Linked DNA regions of Mus musculus: all the other regions are reported to be linked to region 4. Evidence: microRNA targets listed by miRTarBase, many of them from high-throughput screens and not tested one by one. Region 4 holds a microRNA gene; each other region holds the end of a gene's coding sequence.
Evidence for each region. The annotated mature microRNA mmu-miR-706 reads AGAGAAACCCUGUCUCAAAAAA and lies in region 4 at 1,291-1,312, opposite strand. An mRNA with a match to its seed (bases 2 to 7 or 8) in the 3' UTR can be bound and repressed. Matches are read on the target gene's strand: a 7mer-m8 pairs with bases 2 to 8, a 7mer-A1 pairs with bases 2 to 7 and ends in A, and an 8mer does both.

Region 1: the mRNA of Rad1 is a reported target of mmu-miR-706. Seed matches in the 3' UTR shown: 7mer-m8 at 2,764-2,770.
Region 2: miRTarBase lists Bloc1s3 as a target of mmu-miR-706. Seed matches in the 3' UTR shown: 7mer-m8 at 1,069-1,075.
Region 3: the mRNA of Gjc3 is a reported target of mmu-miR-706. Seed matches in the 3' UTR shown: 7mer-m8 at 2,729-2,735 and 7mer-m8 at 2,963-2,969.
Region 5: the mRNA of Trim36 is a reported target of mmu-miR-706. Seed matches in the 3' UTR shown: 7mer-m8 at 1,059-1,065.
Region 6: miRTarBase lists Pex13 as a target of mmu-miR-706. Seed matches in the 3' UTR shown: 7mer-A1 at 2,016-2,022, 7mer-A1 at 885-891 and 7mer-m8 at 572-578.
Region 7: miRTarBase lists Nucks1 as a target of mmu-miR-706. Seed matches in the 3' UTR shown: 7mer-m8 at 1,005-1,011.

What each region holds. Positions count from the first base shown.
Region 1 is chr15:10,492,912-10,496,152 of GRCm38, reverse strand. Rad1 (RAD1 checkpoint DNA exonuclease) reads right to left here. Exons shown (of 6, transcript NM_011232.3): 6 at 2,458-2,999. The coding sequence ends at 2,822. Among named protein-coding and RNA genes, the nearest start is that of Rad1, 8.5 kb to the right of the region's middle.
Region 2 is chr7:19,504,019-19,507,213 of GRCm38, reverse strand. Bloc1s3 (biogenesis of lysosomal organelles complex-1, subunit 3) reads left to right here. Exons shown (of 2, transcript NM_177692.4): 2 at 1-1,410. The coding sequence ends at 200. Among named protein-coding and RNA genes, the nearest start is that of Bloc1s3, 2.8 kb to the left of the region's middle.
Region 3 is chr5:137,954,562-137,957,802 of GRCm38, reverse strand. Gjc3 (gap junction protein, gamma 3) reads left to right here. Exons shown (of 3, transcript NM_080450.5): 2 at 1-598; 3 at 1,359-3,241. The coding sequence ends at 591. Among named protein-coding and RNA genes, the nearest start is that of Gjc3, 6.9 kb to the left of the region's middle.
Region 4 is chr6:120,033,000-120,036,240 of GRCm38, forward strand. Mir706 (microRNA 706) reads right to left here and starts at 1,312; the gene lies at 1,229-1,312. All of the region lies in intron 1 of Wnk1 (WNK lysine deficient protein kinase 1), which reads right to left.
Region 5 is chr18:46,164,900-46,168,140 of GRCm38, forward strand. It overlaps Trim36 (tripartite motif-containing 36), which reads right to left. Exons shown (of 10, transcript NM_001170855.1): 10 at 401-2,868. The coding sequence ends at 2,514. Among named protein-coding and RNA genes, the nearest start is that of Gm52355, 24 kb to the left of the region's middle.
Region 6 is chr11:23,646,813-23,650,053 of GRCm38, forward strand. Pex13 (peroxisomal biogenesis factor 13) reads right to left here. Exons shown (of 4, transcript NM_023651.5): 4 at 471-2,778. The coding sequence ends at 2,480. Among named protein-coding and RNA genes, the nearest start is that of 0610010F05Rik, 15 kb to the left of the region's middle.
Region 7 is chr1:131,930,453-131,933,693 of GRCm38, forward strand. It overlaps Nucks1 (nuclear casein kinase and cyclin-dependent kinase substrate 1), which reads left to right. Exons shown (of 7, transcript NM_175294.3): 7 at 582-3,241. The coding sequence ends at 754. Among named protein-coding and RNA genes, the nearest start is that of Nucks1, 22 kb to the left of the region's middle.

The DNA.
Region 1 (3,241 bases), not on the chromosome of region 4:
GTCACCTCCCATCTGGCCCCGGGGTGCTGGGCTAACAGCTCCACAGCACTGCATCCAGCTTTCTCTCCGAGTCCTAGGACGGAAGGCAGCTCGTCAAGCTTGCACAGGGACCACGTTTACCCACTGAGCCACCTCCTGCTCTCCATCGCGTTCTGAAAGAGTCCACTCCAAACCGCTGAGAGGATCATAGCCTACCCCTTCAGGTAGCTGCAACCATGTTTTACAGGAATACTTTACATCCGAAATTCTGTGATTTAAAAAAGTATAATTTAAGAAATTATTTAGTCTATTTTGAGTAGTTAAATAAATTCTAGGTAGAAACATAAAATGGGGGAATAAACAAGGTTTAAAAAAAGAGAAAAAAAAAGGCTGTTTGTTTACCTATTTCTGGCAAGCAAAATTTTCCAAAAAGAAAATGATATAAACTTCAAAAACACAAAACTAAAAACTTATAAAACTCAACCTGTATTCTTCCACTGGCTGTTTTCAACCATCAGTAGCCTTGGGTACTTTTATTTGGGGACAGGAGTCATAATGACCGGAAGAGATAATTTTAGGAATGTTAAACACATCTTGCAATAGAGTAACATTATTTCCCCAAGTATCATGCCCCAAACCATCAGTGACTGTTAGTGTCTAGCATAGAAAAGAGAAATTTCACTTTAGACATATTTTTTCTACTGAGAAGGCTTATCATATGATTTTAGTATTATGTTTTGTTAATGACAAAAAAAAATCTATTGCCACAAAAGCTATTTTAGTAAAAACTACCCAGGGAAATACAAACATGGCTTGTTTTGTGTGGGGGATATGGACGCCAACCTTGTGAAGGAAAAAGTGCAATGGAGAGCAAGACAGCACAGGCTCCTGCGAGTCCTCCAAGAGTCCTGATGGTCCAGGGCATTAGATCTAAGATGGCTCCTCGAAGGCCAGTTAGACAGCAAAAAGGAACAAAGGCCAGGGCAGTACACCTCTTATCCCAGTACTCAGGAGTCAGAGGCAGGTGGATCTCTGTGAGTTCGAGACCAGCCTGGTCTACACAGTAAATTCTAGGACAGCTAAGGCTATGTAGAGAGTCCCTGTCTCAAAACAAACAAAACAAACTCTTAAAACCAAGTCAACAATAATAAAATTAACCATAGAATGCTTCAACTCAAATCATTTGTGAAGTCACCTGTCCAGCCAGGAAACCCTGTCGAGAGAGAGAGAGAGAGAGAGAGAGAGAGAGAGAGAGGGAGAGGAGAGGAGAGAGGAGAGAGAGAGAGGAGAGAGAGGAGAGGAGAGGAGAGAGAGAGAGAGAGAGAGAGAGGTGAATGTAATAAAACAAAAGCAAGAATAGTCTCTCAAACTGTGGTTCAGCTGTTTTTTTCACACTTTGGCAAACATCAGAATTTTCTGGAGGAAGCTTGAGAAAATAAACATTGCTCTCCCCACTAGCAAGTCTCAAGACAGTTCTGACACTGGTGTGATAGTGAGCCACTCAGCTTTAAGATCTAGTATCTGACTAGACAGTGGTTGTGCACATCTTTAATTCCAGCACTCGGGAGGCAGAGGCAGGCGGATTTCTGAGTTTGAGGCCAGTCTGGTCTACAGTGTGAGTTCCAGGACAGCCAGAGCTACACAGAGAAACCCTGTCTCAAACAAAACAAAACAAAACAAAACAAAAGATCTAGTACCTGGAATGTATACTATTATATAAAGAAAAGAACATATCGGATATGGCTCCATCCAACTTTGTATAGACTCTCAAGATATGTTAGGCTGGGCATAGTGGTGCATGTCTTTAATCCTAGTACACAGAGGCAGAGGATCTTTGAGTTTGATGCCAGCCTGGTCTACAAATTGAGTCCAGGACAGCCAAGGCTATTATACAGAGAAACCTTGTCTTGAAAAACCGGAAAAAAACAAAACAAAACAAAACAAAACAAAAAATCTACTTAAGTGGAAAAACCACAATGTATTCATGTTGATTCACTGATTCCCATAAGTTGGGAAGGTTGTCAGGGGGAAAGGAGAATGCTGGAGATATGGCTCAGTCGTCACCTCAGAGGACTAGGGGTTGGTTCCCAGAACCCACATGGAGGATTGTAACCACCTGTAGCTCTAGCTCTAGAGCATCAAATGCCCCTTCTGAACTCTGCAGGCACCAGGCACACATGCGGTGCCTATACATCCAAGGTAAGCAAACACACACACACACACACACACACACACACACACACACACAATGAACACAGGGTTTTTTTTTTTGTTTTTTTTTTTGTTTGTTTTGGTTTTTCGAGACAGGGTTTCTCTGTGTTGCCCTGGCTGTCCTGGAACTCACTCTGTAGACCAGGCTGGTCTCCAACTCAGAAATCCGCCTGCCTCTGCCTCCCAAGTGCTGGGATTAAAGGTGTGCGCCACCATGCCCGGCATGAACACAGTTTTAAAAAAGAAAAGAACAAAAGACACAGGACAGTACAGTAAGTCGGATAATTTATGGCTATATGAAAAATTTATTGACAAAATAAAAACTATTTACAGATTTACAGAATGGGACTGACCTTGCTCCTATTTTCTCCATGCATCTCTCTATACAATCCAAAATGAAATCATCAAGGTTAGAGAGTTAGAGTGAGAACGCCAACTATAAAGACACAAATATTCGCCGGTCGTGGTGGCGCATGCCTTTAATCCCAGCACTCGGGAGGCAGAGGCAGGTGAATTTCTGAGTTCGAGGCCAGCCTGGTCTACAAAGTGAGTTCCAGGACAGCCAGGGCTACAGAGAAACCCTGTCTCGTGAAAGAAAAAAAAAAAAAGACAGAAATAGTCAGTGAATTATTCAAGACTCAGGAACTTCTTCATCAGGGCAGCAGTAATATTCCACAAAACATATCTGCCCATCTTCATTTCTAATCATGTACTGTAAGGAGAGGAAGCCTCGGTTATCTGTCCGGATAGACACTTTACAGGATAAAGCTAGTGCCTTTGTAGAGGGCTTCAGTAGCGACAGCTTGTATCTGTGGGAGAGTAAAGGAAAGGCCGTTGTTTGGATCCACTAAATGCCATGCATGCAACACCAAGTAAAGACAAAAGTTAGTACTGAGTAGCAAGTACTTAACCGAGGTGCTGGATTTCTTGCCTTATCCACCCGCGATTACAACCCAATATCCCCAAGTAAATCTAGTGCCAACCATCTACTCTTTTTAATGCGATGTACTTTTTTTTTTAACAGATTAAAAGTTTTTGTATGGAACTCTGG
Region 2 (3,195 bases), not on the chromosome of region 4:
GCGATGTGGCCGCCCTGGCGGGGAGGCTGGCGGCTGCTCAGGCCACCGGGCTGGCAGCCGCCCACAGCGTGCGCCTGGCGCGCGGGGACCTCTGCGCGCTCGCCGAGCGCCTGGATATCGTGGCTGGCTGTCGCTTGCTGCCGGACATACGAGGGGTCCCTGGTATGGAGCCCGAGCAGGACCCGGGACCTAGAGCCTAGGCTGTCACTCTGTGTCCCCCCACCTGACTCTGCCTCTTGGTGAACATTCGTACCACCTGTGGCATCTGACTCTGTTTTTGTTCCTGGATCACCGAGGCCTCCAATGCGTGGTAGCATTTGATCAATGCCGACAGAAGCCGAATCCTCGCATCTTCTTTGATATTCTTAGCACAATTCCGGGCTCCCCAACCCAGGTTCTGTGGCTATCAAGTAGCTTAGCCCCTATCCATTCTGGTCCTGTTTCCTAAATTCAGCTTTACTCTTGGGCAAAGCCAGAGGTTTGCTTTCTTTTGTTGAGCCTTTCTGAATTTAGGCTTTGGGGGGTAGTGGTGTCTCTCTAGTTTACATCCCTAAATGATGATCACTCCTGACCCGAGGATACCTTCCTCTTACACATATCCCTCTTACCGACCGCTGTGGCCAAATGCAGACCAACCTAGGGCCTGGGTAGTAACCCTAATTCTTAGGCCTTTGTGTCAGGGGCAGCGCCTCCTGGTGTTTTGATCGCTATAGAGACATGACACCACAAATACAAATCTACCACTCACTGTGTCTCTTTCTGGATGCTAAAAGGACTTGGATTCTGACCTCTATGGGCCTCGAGGATAACAGGTTCTTTTTGCCTCTTTGGGTTTGGCTCTTTGGGTGTCTTTTTGGCCACTCCTTTTGTCTCTGTCTTAATGAGGATTCAGTGACCTTATGTGGAAGGGAGCTCGGGTGGTGGGGTGAGACTGTAGCTCAGTGGTGTCGTGTACGCTTAGTGTGGGCGGCCCTGGGTTCAATTCCTAGGACCACCCTGCTTCAAAAGAAACAAACAAGCACATTCTTTGTTTGTTTGTTTTGTTTTTGTTTTGTTTTTTGAGACAGGGTTTCTCTGTGTAGTCCTGGCTGTCCTGGAACTCACTTTGTAGACCAGGCTGGCCTCAAACTCAGAAATTCACCTGCTTCTGCCTCCCAAGTGCTGGGATTAAAGGCGTGTGCCACCACTGCCCGGTCAAACTAGAACATTCTTAGATGCCTGTGTCCCCTTTAAAAATTTACCCAGGGTGGGGGGTGGGGTGGGGCTGGAAAGTAGAGGTCCTGAGTTCAAACCCCAGAAACCACATGGTGGCTCACAACCATCTGTATTGAGATCTGATGCCCTCTTCTGGTGTGTCTGAAGACAGCTACAATGTACTTATATATAATAAATAAATTATTAAAAAATTTACCCTCTTGATTCTAACTATCAGCTGATATGCTATTTTGTTTTTACATCAACTAGAGTCAGGGTTTTTATTGGTAATTAGGCGTGGAGATTGGGGATTTAGCTCAGGGTTACAGCTCTTGCCTAGCAAGTGCAAGGCCCTGGGTTTGGTCCTCAGCTCAAAAAACAAAACAAAACCTCAAAAAAATCCAACCAAACCCCTCCCCTCCTCAAAAACAAAACATGTAACTGGTGCATGTCAGGCAGTGGTGGCACACACCTCAGTCCCAGCACTGGCTGGGCAGAGGCAGGCAGATCTGAGCTTGAGGCCAGCTTGGTCTGTAGAGCAAGTTCCAGAACAGCCAGGGCTACCCAGAGAAATCCTGTCTCAGTTTTAAAAAAGGAAAAAAATTGTGTGCACATATGTGTGTGCTTGCAGGTATGTTTACCCAGTATGTGTGCTGTATACAGGTGTGCCTATATGTTCAGGTGTGTCCATGTGTGTGTGTAAGCACGTGTGCTTGCATGTGTGTAGAGCTTCCTGTGTATAAACAGGTGTGTCTGCATGCATGCAGGTGTGACTGTATTGTGGGCTCAGGTGTGCCTGGATGTGCAGATCTGTCTGCAGATGTCAGGAGCTGTGTATGTGCATGTAAGGGCCTGTATGTGACAGGTGATGTGCAAGGCTGTCCTCTCCCGAAGCTCTGCTGTGCCGCTGGCACAAGGCCACCACAGAAAGGACTTGTTGACCTTTGAGTTCCCTAGAAGAAGGGGGTATAAGGAGGCTGTGCCACCTCACCTGAGGGTCCAGCCACTCTTCACAAGCACTTGTTTACAACTCTGCCCTAACTCCACCTGTGTCAGGGACTGGGTAGATGTACACAGACCAAGAAAGGACAGAGAGGGGGCTCCATGTACACAGCCACACACAAGCCATCCCTACTGCATGCATACCTTCCAGTAGGGCTGCTCCTGCTCTTAACCCCACACTCTTGCTCCATAAAGCATGGGACCTTGAAAGGTACCATGGTCCCCGGCTGAGCTAAGGCTAGAAGCCGAGGAGAGCCTGAAGGGACCTAAGGAGGTTTACCTGCTCCAGGGCACCAGGCCTGTCACTAGCAGCAGCCCCACCCCCATAGATTTGTGACCATCAGTCATGTAAGGGGAACGCCCAAGCCCCTCCACTCGTAAAGGCTGTGACCTGTGGTCAAGTAGGCACAAGACAGATCTCCATTTTTAACAAGGTTCCTAAAGGCCTGGAGGATGTAGCCAGTAAGCTTTCCTTCCCAGACATTCCTCCCTGCATCCACTTTCCGTCATGACAATAAATGCCTCAACAGTCCTCCTGCATTCCTAGTGCTGGATTGATTATGGGCGTGACCCATCCCTCTGGGAGATAGACAAAACCCAGGGTACTCGGTTGGTCAAGAACAAAGGTGAGGGTCCTGAGAAAATGGTTCAGTGGCTAAGAGCTCTTGCTTTGGACACAGGTGAAGCTGGGGTCCAATCCCCAAGAACAAAGGCAGGCACAGCTGCGCATGCCTGGAACCCAAATTGGGGGTGACAGAGACAGGAAGATCCTGAGAGCTTGCTGGCCAACCAGCCTAGCAGAAAAGGCAAGTGTCCAATTCAGTGGGACCCCCATCTCAAAACAGCAAGGCAGTGCAGGGTAACAGAAGAGGACACTCAGCAGCCAGCCCTGACATCCACATGCACACACGCACATACAGAGGTTGAGGCTGGACAGGGTGAGGACCTGCGTGGATCCAGGCCACAGGCAGAACCCCTTATCAGTGCAGGAATGTAGCT
Region 3 (3,241 bases), not on the chromosome of region 4:
ATTTGCTATGATGTCTTCCGCCCTCTCTCTCCATTGCGCTTCTGGGCCTTCCAAGTCATTCTGATGGCTGTACCCAGTGCCATTTATGTGGCTTTCACTCTGTATCATGTGATTGGATACTGGGAGGTACCAGGAAAGGAAAACAAGGAGCAAGAGACCCAGATTAGCAAAGGGGATCATAGCAAGGATGTCTCAGGGGCTAAAAGCCTCAAGCTTCTCTGGGCCTATGTGGCACACCTTGGGGTACGGCTGGCCCTTGAGGGAGCAGCTCTAGGTGTTCAGTACAATCTGTATGGTTTCAAGATGTCCAGCACTTTTATATGTCGTGAGGATCCTTGTATTGGCAGCACAACCTGTTTCCAGTCTCACCCCTCTGAGAAGACCATCTTCCTCAACATCATGTTTGGGATCAGCGGGGCCTGTTTCTTATTTATTTTCTTGGAGCTTGCGCTTTTGGGTTTAGGGAGGTTTTGGAGGATATACAAGCACAAACTTTCCTTCTTAAAGAAGTTGCCAACTTCAGAGAGCTCTGTAAGATCCAAGGACACAACCGATGAATTGTCAGTGGTGGAGGCAAAAGAGCCATTTTGAGATGCAGGTGAGGACCCTACTGCCAATCATCTATCCCTGCCTCTGATCTCTCTGTGTTAGCAGTCCCCACTTAGAGTAGGCCCCTCATCCTTTGGGGTGTACAGTTCCCATGTTACAAAGTTTCTAAGCAGAGGCATTCTACTTTTACTTTGGTGTGTGTGTGTTTGTGTGTGTGTGTGTGTGTGTGTGTGTGTGTGTGTGTGAGAGAGAGAGAGAGAGAGAGAGAGAGAGAGAGAGAATATTCAGGTGCCGGTGGAGGCCAGAGAAGGTGGTAGATCTTTTGGAGCTGGAATTACAGGTAGCTGTCCAATGTGGGAACTGGGAAGCAAACTTTGGTTTCTTTGCACTCTAACCACTGGGACATCTCTCCAGAACCCAGATGTATTTTTTAAGGGATGAAATGTTTACTTTGGTTCACAGTTTGAGGGTACAGTCTCTCTTGGTGGAGAAGGCATTCATATATGTATATGAAACAGCTAGCCCTGACTGGCGTGAAATTTGCTATAGTAGATCAGGCTGGCTTTGAACTCATGGAGAACCATCTGCCTCTGGCTCTCAAGTTCTAAGATTAAAAGCAAGAGCCACCATGCTCTCAGTCTCATGGCTGAGGCATGTATTTGATTACTACCCCCAAACCGTTTCCCAATACCTATCCCTATCAGTTGCATGACTCCTTGTGGTAGACCCCGATAAGCACACTGGTTTGTGTATTGCCTGCTCTTTCATTTGGTAAAATCCTCAGCTTCTGCTTAATTTCTACTTTTCAGAGTTGTAAAGTTGCCTGGATTGCCTGCAGAAAACTCTGGGACTTGATCTTCAATACATCCAGTGAGGTGGCCGGGGAGATGGTACAGGGGTAAAGGTGCTTGCAGTCAAGCCTCATGATCTGAGATTGATCTCCAGAACCCACACGGAGAAGGGAGAAAACCAACTCCCACAAGTTGCCCACATACATGTCATGAAGAGTACACACACACACACACACACACACACACACACACACAAAGAATAAATAAAATAATAAAATCTCAGAAAACAAAACAAGACCTCCTACATCAATTAGCTGCCACTTCTAATTTTTCTTTCCTGTCTCTCCACTAAATATAAACAAAAAACAGGCTACTTTCTGTTCTAATGGATTATCTATCCTATTCTGGGATTGTATAGAGATGGAATCATACAGTATGCTTATTAATCACTTGTATATCTTTGTAGAAAAGACCAAGTTTTTTGCCAATTAAATTAGGTTATTTATTTTTGCCTTGTATAAACTATATAATTGTTAGATACCTATCAAGTGGCTCATTTCAAAACATTCTCTTCTATTCCATGGGTCATCTTCATTTTCTTCCTGAGTAGCATTTCTTTAAAATTATTTATTCTTTGATAATTTCCTACATGTATACAGTGTGTTTTGATCACGTCTACCCTATATCCCTGTATCACTGCTCTTGGATCTCCTGACATGTCCCTATCCTAATTTCTTGTCCTCTTCTTTTCTTTATAACCCACTGAGAACAAAAATCAGTGCTACTCAAAGTGTGAATTGGTGTGAAGCTATCTACCCGAACACAGTCAACCTACTCGATGCCACACCCAAAGAAGATGGAGTCTTCCTCTGCCAGCATTGATCAACTGCCAACAGTTCCTCAGTTGTGGGTAGTCCTTCTCTCATTCATCCTGTAATGCTGAGTGTCTTGAGCTTGTGCAGGCAACCACTGCTTCTGTGAGTTTATGAATGCAAGTTCCTGCTGTGTTCATAAGATGTTGTTTCATAGCAGATCTCCCAGAGCACTGGATCTTTACATTTTTCTTTCCCATTTCTCCATCTTCTCTAATGTTCCCTTGAGCTTTGGGGGGCAAGGATGTGCTGTCGATGTCTCATTTGAGACTGAATATTACATGGACACCTGTTTCTGCATTTACAAATTGTAAGTCTGTATATTGGCCACTGTTCACTGTAAAAAGAAAAAGTCTGTGGTCAGTGTTGAAAACTGACCTAATCTATGAGTTTCGAGAATCATTTAGAAGACAGTTTGATACTATGTCAATTTAGCAAACTAATAGTGACTTTTCTGTAGGGCTTTTGAGCTCCGCAGGATGGGTTCTTGGCCAGATTTGTAGTACCAGGCATGGGGTTTCTCTTGTGGAGTGAATCCTCAATCGAATCAGAAAGCAGTTGGTTACTCCTGTACCAGCTACACCACTGTTTCACCCATGCATGTGTCTTGTGAGGCTGGTTGTTGGAACTCATCAGATTCATACATGAGAAAGAGTTTTGATGACTAGGAAGGCTACCCAGCATAGAGTTGGCAATATTTTTTGATGTACAAAACTTTACATTTTTTTCCCAATTCTTTTTTGAGACAGGGTTTCTCTGTGTAGCCCTGGCTGTCCTGGAACTCACTCTGTAGACCAGGCTGGCCTCGAACTCAGAAATCTGCCTGCCTCTACCTCCCGAGTGCTGGGATTAAAGGCGTGCGCCACCACGCCCAGCATTTTCCCCAATTTTTTATTAGGTATTTTCTTCATTTGCATTTCAAATGCTATCTAGAAAGTCCCCTATACCCTCCCCCCGCGCCCTGCTCCCCGCTCCCCTACCCACCCACTCCCATTTCTTGGCCCTGGCGTTCCCCTGTACTGGGGCATA
Region 4 (3,241 bases):
TTACTCTGTAGCCTAGACAGGCCTTGAACCTGTGATCTTACTGTTTCAGCCTCATTGAATAACTAAAATTATAGGCCTCTGCTACCAGGTCTAATTTGTAATTGCCTTCAATACCTTCCAAATTGCTATATCATAACTATTTTAATGTTTGTAATTTCTTAACCAAAGCTAAATTACTTAATGCCCTATGATTTCAGGTCCTTATTTAACAAACAAGTAGGTGGGAGAGATAGCCTGATTTTATCCAATTTTGCATCTATTTATGTAGGTACACATGTGCCACAGCAAGAGTGCAGGGGTCAGAAAACAACTTTCACAAGTTGGCTCTCTCCTTCCACAATGTGGGTGCTATATTGAACATCAGGCTTAGTGGCAGGGGTCCTTACCTAATGAGCTATTATTTCCCAAAACCCTTCTAGTTTTAATACACTAAAAATTTTAAAGCTAAGCATGGTAGTACATGCTTAAAATCACACTGCTAGGGAGATAATGTCAAAGGGGTACTTTTTTTCCTTTTCTTTTCAAAGCTTTACTTATCCTTAGGTTTGACCTTTAATTTGAACCCAAATATTTTGATCTAAAACAAAATGATATGGGCTGGAATGATATGGCTCAGCAGTTAAGAACACTGACAGCTCTTTCCAGAAGTCCTGAGTTCAATTCCCAACAACCACATGGTGGCTCACAACCATCTGTAATGGGATCTGATGCCCTCTTCTGGTGTGTCTGAAGACAGAAACAGTGCACTCATACACATAAAATAAATAAGTCTTTAAAAATAAATAAATAAAAATAAAAAGTAAAAGCACACATTTATAAAAAGCCACATGGTGGCTCACAACCATCTGTAATGAAATCTGACACCCTCTTCTGGAGTGTCTGAAGACAGCAACAGTGTACTTATATATAATAAATAAATAAATCTTAAATAAATAGATAATTAAATAAAACAAATGTAATTGAAGAATTGAATTCCTGGATCAGTAATAGATCCTTGGTACAAAAATTCCTATAAATCAGTTTCATCTAAATTATTGAGTATGACTGCCCAGTAGGAGGAGAGGCATATTTTGACAAGTTTACCAAACAAACAAACAAACAAACAATGAAGGTAAGTTTGTCTGGCATGGTCCTGTAATACCAATACTCCAAAAGCTACAGCAGAAGAATCATGGATTCAAGGCCAGCTTGGAGTACACAATGAGTCTTCACAATATAGGGTAAGGGAAAAAAAAAGCCATCTCAAAAAACAAAATAAACCTACTAAAAGTAATTTTGTTTGTTTTTTTGTTTTTTGAGACAGGGTTTCTCTGTATAGCCCTGGCTGTCCTGGAACTCACTCTGTAGACCAGGCTGGCCTAGAACTCAGAAATCCACCTGCCTCTGCTTCCCAAGTGCTGGGATTAAAGGCGTGTGCCACCACACCCGGCTAAAAGTAATTTTTAAAAAATACCTGTCACGGCCAGGCAGTGGTGGCACACGCCTTTAATTCCAGCACTTGGGAGGCAGAGGCAGGCGGATTTCTGAGTTCGAGGCCAGCCTGGTCTACAGAGTGAGTTCCAGGACAGCCAGGCTATACAGAGAAACCCTGTTTTGAAAAAAACCAAAATATTAAATAAATAAATAAATAAATAAATAAATATTTGTCACATTTCCAACTCTTATCAGTTATAAAATTAACAAGGGGTAATTTTTTTTTTGGTTATTTTACTTCATTAATGTGCTTAGAAGTTCCATTTTAAGTGTTGAACTCAAGGAATTATGTTCAAGAACTTGCCAGTTTCATGTTTGCTTCCACATGCTGAGTTAACGTTCTTTCACATTTTTAAAATAAAAACAAAACGAACACTCATTTCCAATGGTGAAAATAAATTTCAAGCATATAGAGAAGTGGAAGAGAAAGCTTAATCGACTATCTTTAAGTGAACAATCATATGCTGATAATTGTTGAAGCTGGGTAATTGCTCACCTTCACTAGATATTTAGAAGCAAACTCCATTTTTTTTTTTTTCTGAGACAGGGTTTCTCTGTATAATCCTGGCTGTCCTAGAACTCACTTTGTAGACCAGGCTGGCCTCCAACTCAGAAATCCGCCTGCCTCTGCCTCCCGAGTGTCGGGATTAAAGGCATGCACCACCACATAGAAGCAAATTCCAAACATTATTCCTTTCACATTTCAAATGACCTTGGGACATTTGGAAACCAAGCTGTTTATTAATTCTTGGGTAAATCAAGTTCTGAGATTATTTCAGTTACTTTCCAATCCTATTTCAGTTTGGTCCATTTTCTTGACAAGAAATCAGTAGTGGCACTTTCATCTATGATGTAGCTGAAATTCTGCTTCCACCACAAATACATGCTCATTTCTGGATGTGAACAAGTGCTAACAAACCAATATTTATATAGATGCTTTATAATAACATTTATTTATCGCTATAATATATATTATATTATATTATATTATATTATATTATTTATATAAATATAAATTTATATAATAAATATAATAACATTTATTTATTGCTATAATTCAAGCAATTAGTAGTCCAAACTAATCTAGCATATACCTGCACTTTATTTATAACCTGAAAATTTCCCTGAGATTAAAAAAAAAAAGGAAGGAAGGAAGAAAGCACTGTAATCCCTCGGACTCTTGGGAAGTTTCATTTAAAAATCTTTTATATCCCTGGCATAGTGGCATTAACTTATAATTCTAATACTCTGGAGGCTGAGGCAGAGGGATCAACAAATTCAGGACAGTCTGGGCTATACTTTGGGACACTCACAAAAAGTCTTTTATAAGATATTACAACAATGATGGTATTATCACAACTTTCAAAGCACTTATACAATTTTGCATGGACTTTTACTATTCACTATGGACTGAATAGGATGAAGACAGACTAATGAACAGTGTCAGATCACAGCTAGCCATAAGGCTTAAGCACCTGTAGGTGGTTATATTGGTAGGTATATACTGTACCTTCCTACTCTGAAAGCACTTAAAGGGAAAGAGAGTTGGGAATCAGGGACTGGGTGGTTGTTTTGATGGTGGTGCAAGACTTTAATCCCAGCACTTGGGAGGCAGAGGCAGGTGAATTTCTGAGTTCGAGGCCAGCCTGGTCTACAGAATGAGTTCCAGGACAGCCAGGGCTATACAAAATCCTGTCTCGAAAAAACCAAAACAAAACAAAACAAAAAAGACAGTGTCTCACTACCCAGGCCAGACTGGCCTTGAACT
Region 5 (3,241 bases), not on the chromosome of region 4:
TAAATAAATGTTCAAAATAATAAACTAACATATGAGGTTAAGAGTACTGTGGACTGGAGAGATGGCTCAGCAGTTAAGAGCACTGACTGCTCTTCTGAAGGTCCTGAGTTCAAATCCCAGCAACCACATGGTGGCTCACAACCACCTGTAATAAGATCTGACTCCCTCTTCTGGAGTGTCTGAAGACAGCTACAGTGTACTTACATGTAATAAATCAATAAATCTTTAAAAAAATAAATAAAAATAAGAGTGAGTACTGCTGGTCCAGGAGTCTCCAGTTCCTTTCCACGAGTGCTGGGTAGATCACAATCACCTCTAACTCTGGCGCCAGGGCATCCGCTACTTCTGGCCTCCATGGGCGCTCACATCCATGTGTACATGCACATTCGCATACATGTAATTAAGAATAAATCTTTTTTAATTAAAAAAATTAACATGTGCCACAAAGCATCTTATAGTAAGTGTTCTGTTTCGGTTTTCCACAAAGCAGAGTAAAAAATCCCTGTAGTGCAGACTTGAATAACTACACTTGGCTTCCCTTTATTTATTTATTTTTTATTAAAAATTGAAATTCCACTAAGCAATTTCTATAGAGTGATACAGTGTTTGAACAGCTTCCTTCTCTGACTCCTGTTAAAGCTTTATATTTTAAAACGTCTACAGGACATGTGCTCACATGAGTATTGAGTATCACACTAACCCACACACGGGTGACACTAGCAGCTTTATTGCACAATGACCCAGGTAACACTGCACATTCTCTCTGTTTCCTATGTCATAAAGTGCTACATATAAATGGGAGAGGAAGGACAATCACTAAACACAAATCCTCCACACCTTTCTACACGAGCTTAGGGGTGTGTGTGTGTGTCAGTCAGTGCTGCGTCAGACGCAGTGTGATTGGCCTAACAGGCTTCCATTAAAAATAATCAAATAGAGCCGGGCAGTGGTGGCACACACCTTTAATCCCAGCACTTGGGAGGCAGAGGCAGGCAGATTTCTGAGTTCAAGGCCAGCCTGGTCTACAGAGTGAGTTCCAGGACAGCCAGGACTACACAGAGAAACCCTGCCTCGAAAAAATAAATAAAATAAACAGCTTTGGTTATTCTACTAAAATGTTAACATTCCATACATGATCAGTGCTGAAAACATGTCTTAGTGTCTGGACATTTTAACTTTTAAAAAGGCAATTCAAATAATCAGAAGGTAATTTTGCAGAAATTAACATTCAATGTAGAAAAGATATAAAAACTGACTAGACACATCCTTGTGATTTTCCATATTATTTCCTAGGAATTTTGTACTTTACTGATTCACACTACAAGTGCTTATGACCACACAATGAGCCCACAAATAATGCCATCCAACTGGACAGTAGTAACATGTAACATGTCTGGTATTTCAATGCTGCTGAAAATGGGCAGTGAACTTCTCAGATTTGTAAACAAAAACCATAAAACCCTGATGTACAACATAAGTACCAAACCCATAAAATTCACAAGACACAAAGAGACACGTGTTCACTATCAGTCCATCTTCCCTAGTAATTCTGAAAAATAATTCTTTGCTATAAATATGAATATTTTCTAAAGTAAGAAAATTTGAAGATAACATTTCCTGGAAATAATTATATTGTAGTGAAAAGTTGCACGGGTTCAAGAACCCTGTGTTTTTATATGAAACGATGCTTGTTACATGTGCCAGACAATGGGCATTACAACAAGGACACTGTTAGAGATGTCCTTACTAATACAGTCTGTGGTCTACAGGGAAAAAAGCAGTATTCATTTGCCAGGCGATGAATATTCTCAGTAGTTACACACTTTAAAATACACAACTTTCTACTTAAATATACTACCATTTTATGGCCTTTGTCATTTTACCTATCTATAAATTTATTTTTCTATTAACATCAAATGCAAGACACATGGCTTAGTACTAGTTTCTATCAGTAAGCATTCAAAAATATCTTCTCTTTGGACATGAACATGATACAAAATGAAAAGGAAAAAAAAAAAAACAAGCTCAAAGAACCACAATAAATACTTTGTATCCCACCCCAGCCCCCAAACAAAGGGACATGAATAACCAATTAGACTTACATCAATTAGAGTCCCTGTGGCCAAAGAGAAGGACTTCCATTGTAAAGTTATCTATTCTAGACCAGTTAAGACAGAAAGCCTCCACTCCCACCATTTGTAATAGGTAGGACAATGACGTGGAAGAGACAAGGTTGTGAAGTCCTTCTGAGTTTTAAGAACCATACACTAGCTGGGGATGGTGGTGCCCACCTATAATCCTAGCCCTCCAGAGGCTATAACAGAACAGAGTTTGAGGCCCGCCTGGACTACACAGCAAGACCCTGTGTGTCACAGCAGGACAAGACAAAACAAAGAATCACACAGTACAAACAGGTGTGGTGACAGAGACGTAAATGATATGTAATTAGATTAACATCAAGGCATGGCTTTGTTCACGGTTCTTATCCTCATCAGTCACGTGGGGTGTCCAAGCTACACATCCTCTTCATATTCCAGATACTTTGCTGTGATGGCTTCCTCAAGCTGAATTCCTCCGCTGCCCATCAAGGCAAAGGCCGGATACATTGTATGCGAACAGTCCACCTGGCGCTCATACAGGCATTTCATGTGGTCCATATCATAGAAGCTCACTTTGCCTTTATCACAGTCAAGGAAAATCCCTATACTCGTTGGCATGGGGAGAACTCTGTTTTCTGGTTCATTAGAGGAAGTAGGTGACTTGGGTATAAAAAATTTCTTCATGCCTATAGTAACTAATGTAAAGGGCTGTGAAGAATCAAAACAGGCGTCCTCGCTTCCACTGTCATGTCCACTGTCTTGCTCATATCTACAACACAACAATAAACACAGTGACTCACCTCCAGCCACAGTCTCGCAGGGTCTTCAACATACTCAAAAAATAATGCACACTGCTCTAAAGTTAACACACACACAAATGTTCCATGAACACACCTAAAGCACAGACTATAAGTTGTCCTGCAGAGTTGTCCTCTGTGCTCAGTGTCAAATTCACCACAGTAGCATCCATTTTTATCTAAATTTAAATACAAATAGCAACTTAAAAGCTTATTTCCATTGGAAAGAAATCAGAAGAATCGAGGAGCCTAATTTGAGATTAAATATGTATGGTAAGTCATAAAATAAAAAGAACTACGCTCTTATCTGTGAGATAAGTAAATAATCAGGCACTCAGGAGCACA
Region 6 (3,241 bases), not on the chromosome of region 4:
CTGTTGCAGCTATAATCTTAAAAAAAGAAATTAAGTTTCAAATATTTTTAATTCTCCAGTAAAGTATTTTCACAACCTATTAAAAATACAAATTTAACTGTATTTCATTTCTTTTTCCAGTAAAGACAGCATAAAATAAAGAGCCGCTGCACTCAGGTAAATGAATAATTGGCTAAGACTTGAGTAAGATGTAGAACATGAAAATGCATTTATAGTCCTTTAATCTTTTTCTTCCCAAGCTGACAAAATACAATTAAAGCTTCTGATATCTAGTTTCTTACTGTAGCTTATGAATTATTTAATTGAAAGTGTAGTTTCCTGTGATGTAATGCTACTTCAGGAAGTCCCTAAAATTATATTGGAGCTGTGACCAATCTATTCATTTACTCTAAACCACAAAACTTTCTGCCACTCTAGTCCTACAACTGTTTTTCTAAGACTTTAATAAAGAATGGACACAGGCCGAGCGGTGGTGGCGCATGCCTTTAATCCCAGCACTTGGGAGGCAGATTTCTGAGTTCGAAGCCAGTCTGGTCTACAAAGTGAGTTCCAGGACAGCCAGGCCTATACAGAGAAACCCTGTCTTGAAACAAACAAACAAACAAACAAACAAACAAATAAAAAAGAATGGACACAGGTAGTTATTAGGTTAATACTATATAATCTAGCATAGACAGCCAAACAATAAAGACCCTAAAAGAAAGTTTTATCATTTATTTGTCTAAGCTCTTTCCTATACAACTGAAATATTAGTCACAAATCCTATTTTAAAGCTCATCTTCTAAAACAAAACAACACCCCAAACCTAAATAGTGCTGACTCAACATTTTATTTCTACTTTACTCCTAGTGCTTAGTCTAGATGTCTGGAGTAACATTTAGACATGAGAAAAGTTCAGGCATCTCAAGTCAGAAGTAAATATTTGTTAAAACCTTTGAGAGTCAGGGCCATGCCTCAGTGGTAGATTATTCAACCCCCTTTCTCAACTGAAAAGTTACTACTGAATGTCAGAAAAATCAGCCTAAAAGATAAATGAGTACCGTAAATGCTTCTCTCTATCTTAAGATGAAAAGATACATTACTTATTATATTGTCATTTCAAAAAAGGGCTTCCTAGGAAGTCTTTAGTGCTTCTGTTCTGAGCAGATATTGGGTTAGACATGGTTTAATATGAACTCCTCCAGAATTATTTATTTGATAAACCTATCTATATGAAAGAAGCAAAACCCAAATCACTTTTTATCAAAACCCACAGCTGTTAGTAGTGTCTATAAATGAATTCTGTGATTTATTTCTGACAGTTCTAATCTGTAGTATATTCACAGCAAGCGTATAAAGCTTCCAATTCTATGGGGAAACACATAAAATTCACTATTAAGCAAAAAAAAACAACCAAACAAAAAGTCATCGTATTTGAAATAGCAAGCAAATTATAGTCTCAGTAGTGAAAACCACAAGAAATCTATCCAATGTGACAGACATATTTCAGTTACCTTGGGTTTTTTTGGTCCTTTTGTTATTTTGTGTTTTTCTTTCCAGAGCTGAGGACCGAACCCAGGGCCTTGCAAGCAAGCGCTCTACCACTGAGCTAAATCCCCAACCCCGACAGACATATTTCAAATATTTAATGTATAACCTGATTTTGGAATTTACAAAAGTAATTATCTTATATAGAAGCAGAAAATTCAGGATTAAAAATCATTACTGCCAGAATTGATTATATCATTAAGTATAATCTTAAAGGACTCCTGCCTTAGTTGGAGGAAAAGAACAAAAATCCATATATTGTGACTCGCTCAGGATGAGATCTAGCTATATATTGTGACTCGCTCAGGATGAGATCTGTGACACTGTAAGGAGGTTAAGAAGCTGTCAGTCAGAACCATCTTCTTCACAGTGCTCCAGTGACCTCTTAAGAACACACTTTTATAAATACAATAAAAGATAATACTATCAATTATTTGCTGGTAAAAACACATCACCTAAAGTAAATTCAACACTGGACATAATACAGATGAGAAAATTTTTATTATTTAGTTTATTTATAAGGTTAAAAAAATTAGCCTTTTGTCTGTTCTTATAAGTAGATGTTATCACTCAATTTTTGAAGACTTCAAGTCAACTAACTCAGAACTTTAAGAAGCGTTAATGATCCCTTCTGAGGCAGCTTGTGTGTTCTACTGTTCATCAAATTTACTGTTCCAATAAGCCTAGGGACTGAGATAAGATGGAGCTGACAACTATCTCCATAATCTTAAAAACTAGGTGAAACAAATGTCCTCGTGGTCCACAAGACAGTCAAGTGTAGACAGATCACTTGACTAGCAGCTAGCGTGTGACTACATAACTTCTAGCAGCAGAACACTCGGCACAGCCACGAGCAAATGCTTTCATTCAACTGCAAATTAATTTCTCTGTAAGAAATGATTTTTTAAAATACTCTAAAATATTGTTCACCTGCCCACAAACATGAAACACATCAAAGATCTTGTTTGTCTCCATTTTTCCCTGTAGAATCAGGTGCACTGGAAACCTTATTAGTTTCAACAAAAACAGATTCAAAGGCAGCTTCCTGTTCATCCAAAGGATTGGTGGTAGTGACTCCTTTAATTAATGTTGGGTTGGTAAAAGACTGTTGTTGCTTGAGCATTGTACTCGATTCTATTGTTTTTCTGCCTCTTCTTTTACCAAGAATTTTGACATAATTTGCAGGTATAAGTCCTGTTGTTTGACCGTCAAGACTAGCCAGAAGCCAACCACGCACTTTGGGTTGTTGTTCTGAAGAAAGAGAAAGACAGCTTTTAAGTACATTTTGGAATCCAACAGAATATTAATGATAATGTATGTTAAGCAAAATCAGAGCCTTCTGATAAAGCTGTCTCCCGAGGAGCTCCACCAGTGCCTGACAAATACAGAGGTGGATGCTCTCAGCCAACCATTGGACTGAGCACAGGGTCCCCAATGGAGAAACTAGAGAAAGGACCCAAGGAGCTGAAGGGGTTTGCAGCCCTATAGGAGGAACAACAATATGAACCAACCAGTACTCCCAGAGCTCCCAGGGACTAAACCACCAACCAAAGAGTACACATGGAGGGACCCACAGCTGCAGCCGCATATGCAGCAGAGGATGGCCTTGTCGATCATCAATGGAAGGAGAGGTCCTTGGTCCTGTGAAGGCTTGATGCCCCAGTGTAGGGGAATGCCAAGGCCAGGAAGCAGGAGTGGGTGGATTGCTGAGTGG
Region 7 (3,241 bases), not on the chromosome of region 4:
AAAATGAATAAGGTCTTGTTTTGTTTTAATGAAAAGAATCTATGGGCTTGGACTGTATGTAGGAATGACATCTTCATTTCAGACACAATGTACCCTAATAGAGATTCAGGAAGCCTTGGCTGCTTCTGGGGACAGTAGTCCTAGCAGCTGGGGAAGGCTTTCCGTTCTCATCTTCTGTTCTGTCAGGATACTGATAGCAGAAACCAAACTACCTTTGAGAGTAAAGATTTATCTCCTGGGTCTTCAAAGCTTTTGCCAGGTATTTTCCTGGTTCAAGCTAATTTATTAAATCAGAAGTCTAGATTTGCTTAGAGTTTCATTCTGGCAAATATAATTAATATGTTTCTTGTTAAAAAGTTTTACTCATCTCGCCATATTTTAGAGCTTCCAAACCTGTTTGATAGTTGTAGTTTCTGCTCAGAATGTGACCTAATCCTCACTAGGAGTAATGCGCCTTTTCGTGTGTTTCCTTCTTAGTGAGATGGGATAAATTTTTATACTTACAGACTTTTGGTTTTGTAAATGATTTTTTTAAAAGGCATTTTTTTCTGTTCCCCAAATTGTTACTTTCCATATTTCAGTGACGCCAAGTCCAGTGAAAGGCAAAGCGAAAGTGGGTCGCCCCACAGCTTCGAAGAAATCAAAGGAAAAAACTCCTTCTCCCAAAGAAGAGGATGAGGAAGCAGAAAGCCCTCCAGAAAAGAAGTCCGGAGACGAAGGGTCCGAGGATGAAGCCTCATCTGGGGAAGATTAAAAGTGATGTTTAGGGAGAGGTTTTATTAAAAACAAAGGAAACCTCTGTAGGACACGGTTTGGGCTGTGGCTTGACTCATGGGCTTTCAGTGCTATTTCATTTGTCTAGAATAATGTTTTTCTCTCTATCATATATCTCTTTCCCTCTTAAAACCATTGGGTTTTTTGTTTGTTTGGGTTTTTTTTTTGTTTGTTTGTTTGGTTTTTGTTGTTGTTGGGTTTTTTTGGTTTTTTTTTTTTTTCAAGATAGGGTTTCTCTGTGTAGCCCTGGCTGTCCTGGAACTCACTTTGTAGACCAGGCTGGCCTCGAACTCAGAAATCTGCCTGCCTCTGCCTCCCGAGCTCTGGGATTAAAGGGGTGCACCACCACCGCCTGGCTCTTAAAACCATTGTATGCTTACGTGTTTAAGTTGCCATTTTGTCTCAGTCTTTTCTTTGCCAATCCCCTCCCCCCACGAAAGCCATGTCAATCAATCACTGGAGTGACTGTTTGATTTTCGAGTTGTCAATGGAGGGAAGGAATGCCATGGCTGCAAAGCAATAAGATTTCAGGTGGACGCTATGGAAACTGCTTCTTGCTAGAGAACAGCAACTTGAACAATAATCAAAAACAAAAAACTAGAAAGGTTTTAATTAAATATTTGTTCTTTCTTTTCCTGTACTTTTGACAGACCAGTTGTCACTTAACATGAGTTTATATGTCTGAACTGTAAGTGTCAAAAAGAATCATGACTCTAAATTAGTACTAGTGAGGCAGTTGGGGTGAACATGAATTCTGGATTAACTCAGCACTCACATTATTTCCTTGGGTGTGGAGGGAATGGTGTTCCTGGAACTTAGTGGATTTGTTATTCTCAAAGAGATTCAGAGCCAGTGCTTCTTTTGTCTTGATAACGGTCTTTTTTCTTTTTTTTTTTTTAAGTAGGCCACCAGAATCAGTCTTAATTTCATATTTTATTCATGTTTTCATTGATTCAAGTTTTTAAAATACTTCCTGTTTTTGGGTAGTTTCACCAATGATCCAAAATTAAAAAGAGATTTCTTTGAATTTCGATGATGAATTTACCCCTCACAGTGCATTTCTTCACAGGCTGACAATGTTAAAAGTTTTAAGCAAATAAAGTTTGAGTTAGTGTGAAGCTCAGATATAAAAGATTGAGATTTATCCTTTATGAATACAAATAATTGAAATGAGGGCCCATGAACCATGCCACAGTTGTTTCCTTTCGATATTTAAATCTTTCCTCCATAGTAACATGATAATGACATAATCTCACAACCTCCTCCTGCTGCTTCCATACTGTGGAGTTGTTTGCTTCTTAGTTGGTCTGACCCCTCCTTTCTGTTTATGCTTCTTTTTAAAGCAAGAGCCTGAGCCTCAATGGGATGAATGAACTGTATTTTATTTAGGGTGCCTCTGTGCCATTGATAACAGTCTAGATACCTTAGCAAAGCATCAAGATCAGGTTTGATCCTCCACATTCAGGTCCCACTCGCCAATAGAAGAAAAGATTAGGGGTCCTATTATGCTATTAAAAATTTAGTGGAGTAATTTCTGTATATTTTTCTGCACTTAAGCTAAATTTGCTTCCTCAGTATTCTGCCTTTGTGTTTTTTAAGTGACATGTTTGTCTCAGACAGTGTCATTTTCTTATAGGTGTTCATAGGACAAAGGGTTATTTAAGAAATATTTTTACTCTGGTTTTTAAGACACTTTAAAGAACATTCTTAGATCTGCTTTAAAATAAATAAATGAATAAATAAAGCACCTAGTAGCAGAGAGTTATTTCAACCCTGCACTGCTAATAAATGAGTATTAACATGGCCAAAAATAGAAACTTGAACATAAGCAGTTGGATTATTGTATTCTGTAATGGGATATAAGGTTGTGAGCTATGTAGTTGGTATTACAGATTATTCTATTTGCTGTGGTGGGCTTGCTCAGGAACCCGTCCTTAAAGAAAGAAGAGACTCACCATTTCCACCAGGCATCTCTCCCTTTTAGGGGTTTATAACTCAGTCTTACATTCCTAGTGACATTTAGGCTTTTCTTAGGTTATGTTTCATGAAAAGTTGTGGGTAGGGTCTCTTTCAACTTTAGGCCTCAATTTTTTAACAATCTCTTTAATAATCTGCACTAACATCTCTGATTTTATCTACCTATAATTGAGAAATAATACTATCTTCTACGTTACTTGTGTAAAAGGTGTGTCTGATTGGACTTGTTTAGAATTCCTTTTAAAACTAACTCATTAGATTGAAGGTATATTTTCTAATTACAGTTCAGTTGGGTTAATGGTGTCTCAAATGAGCACACAGGCTTTAAGTGACCTTTGTTTTCACTTTTTTTTTTAGTGGTTTATAACACTCTGGTCTTCCCTTCAAATCGTGTATGCAAACAGGAACACATTTAATGTGACTCAACTGGAAACCGGTGCTCAGCAGTTAGGTGTAACAATGATATGAGGGTGTGCCCCTCAGTTCATAA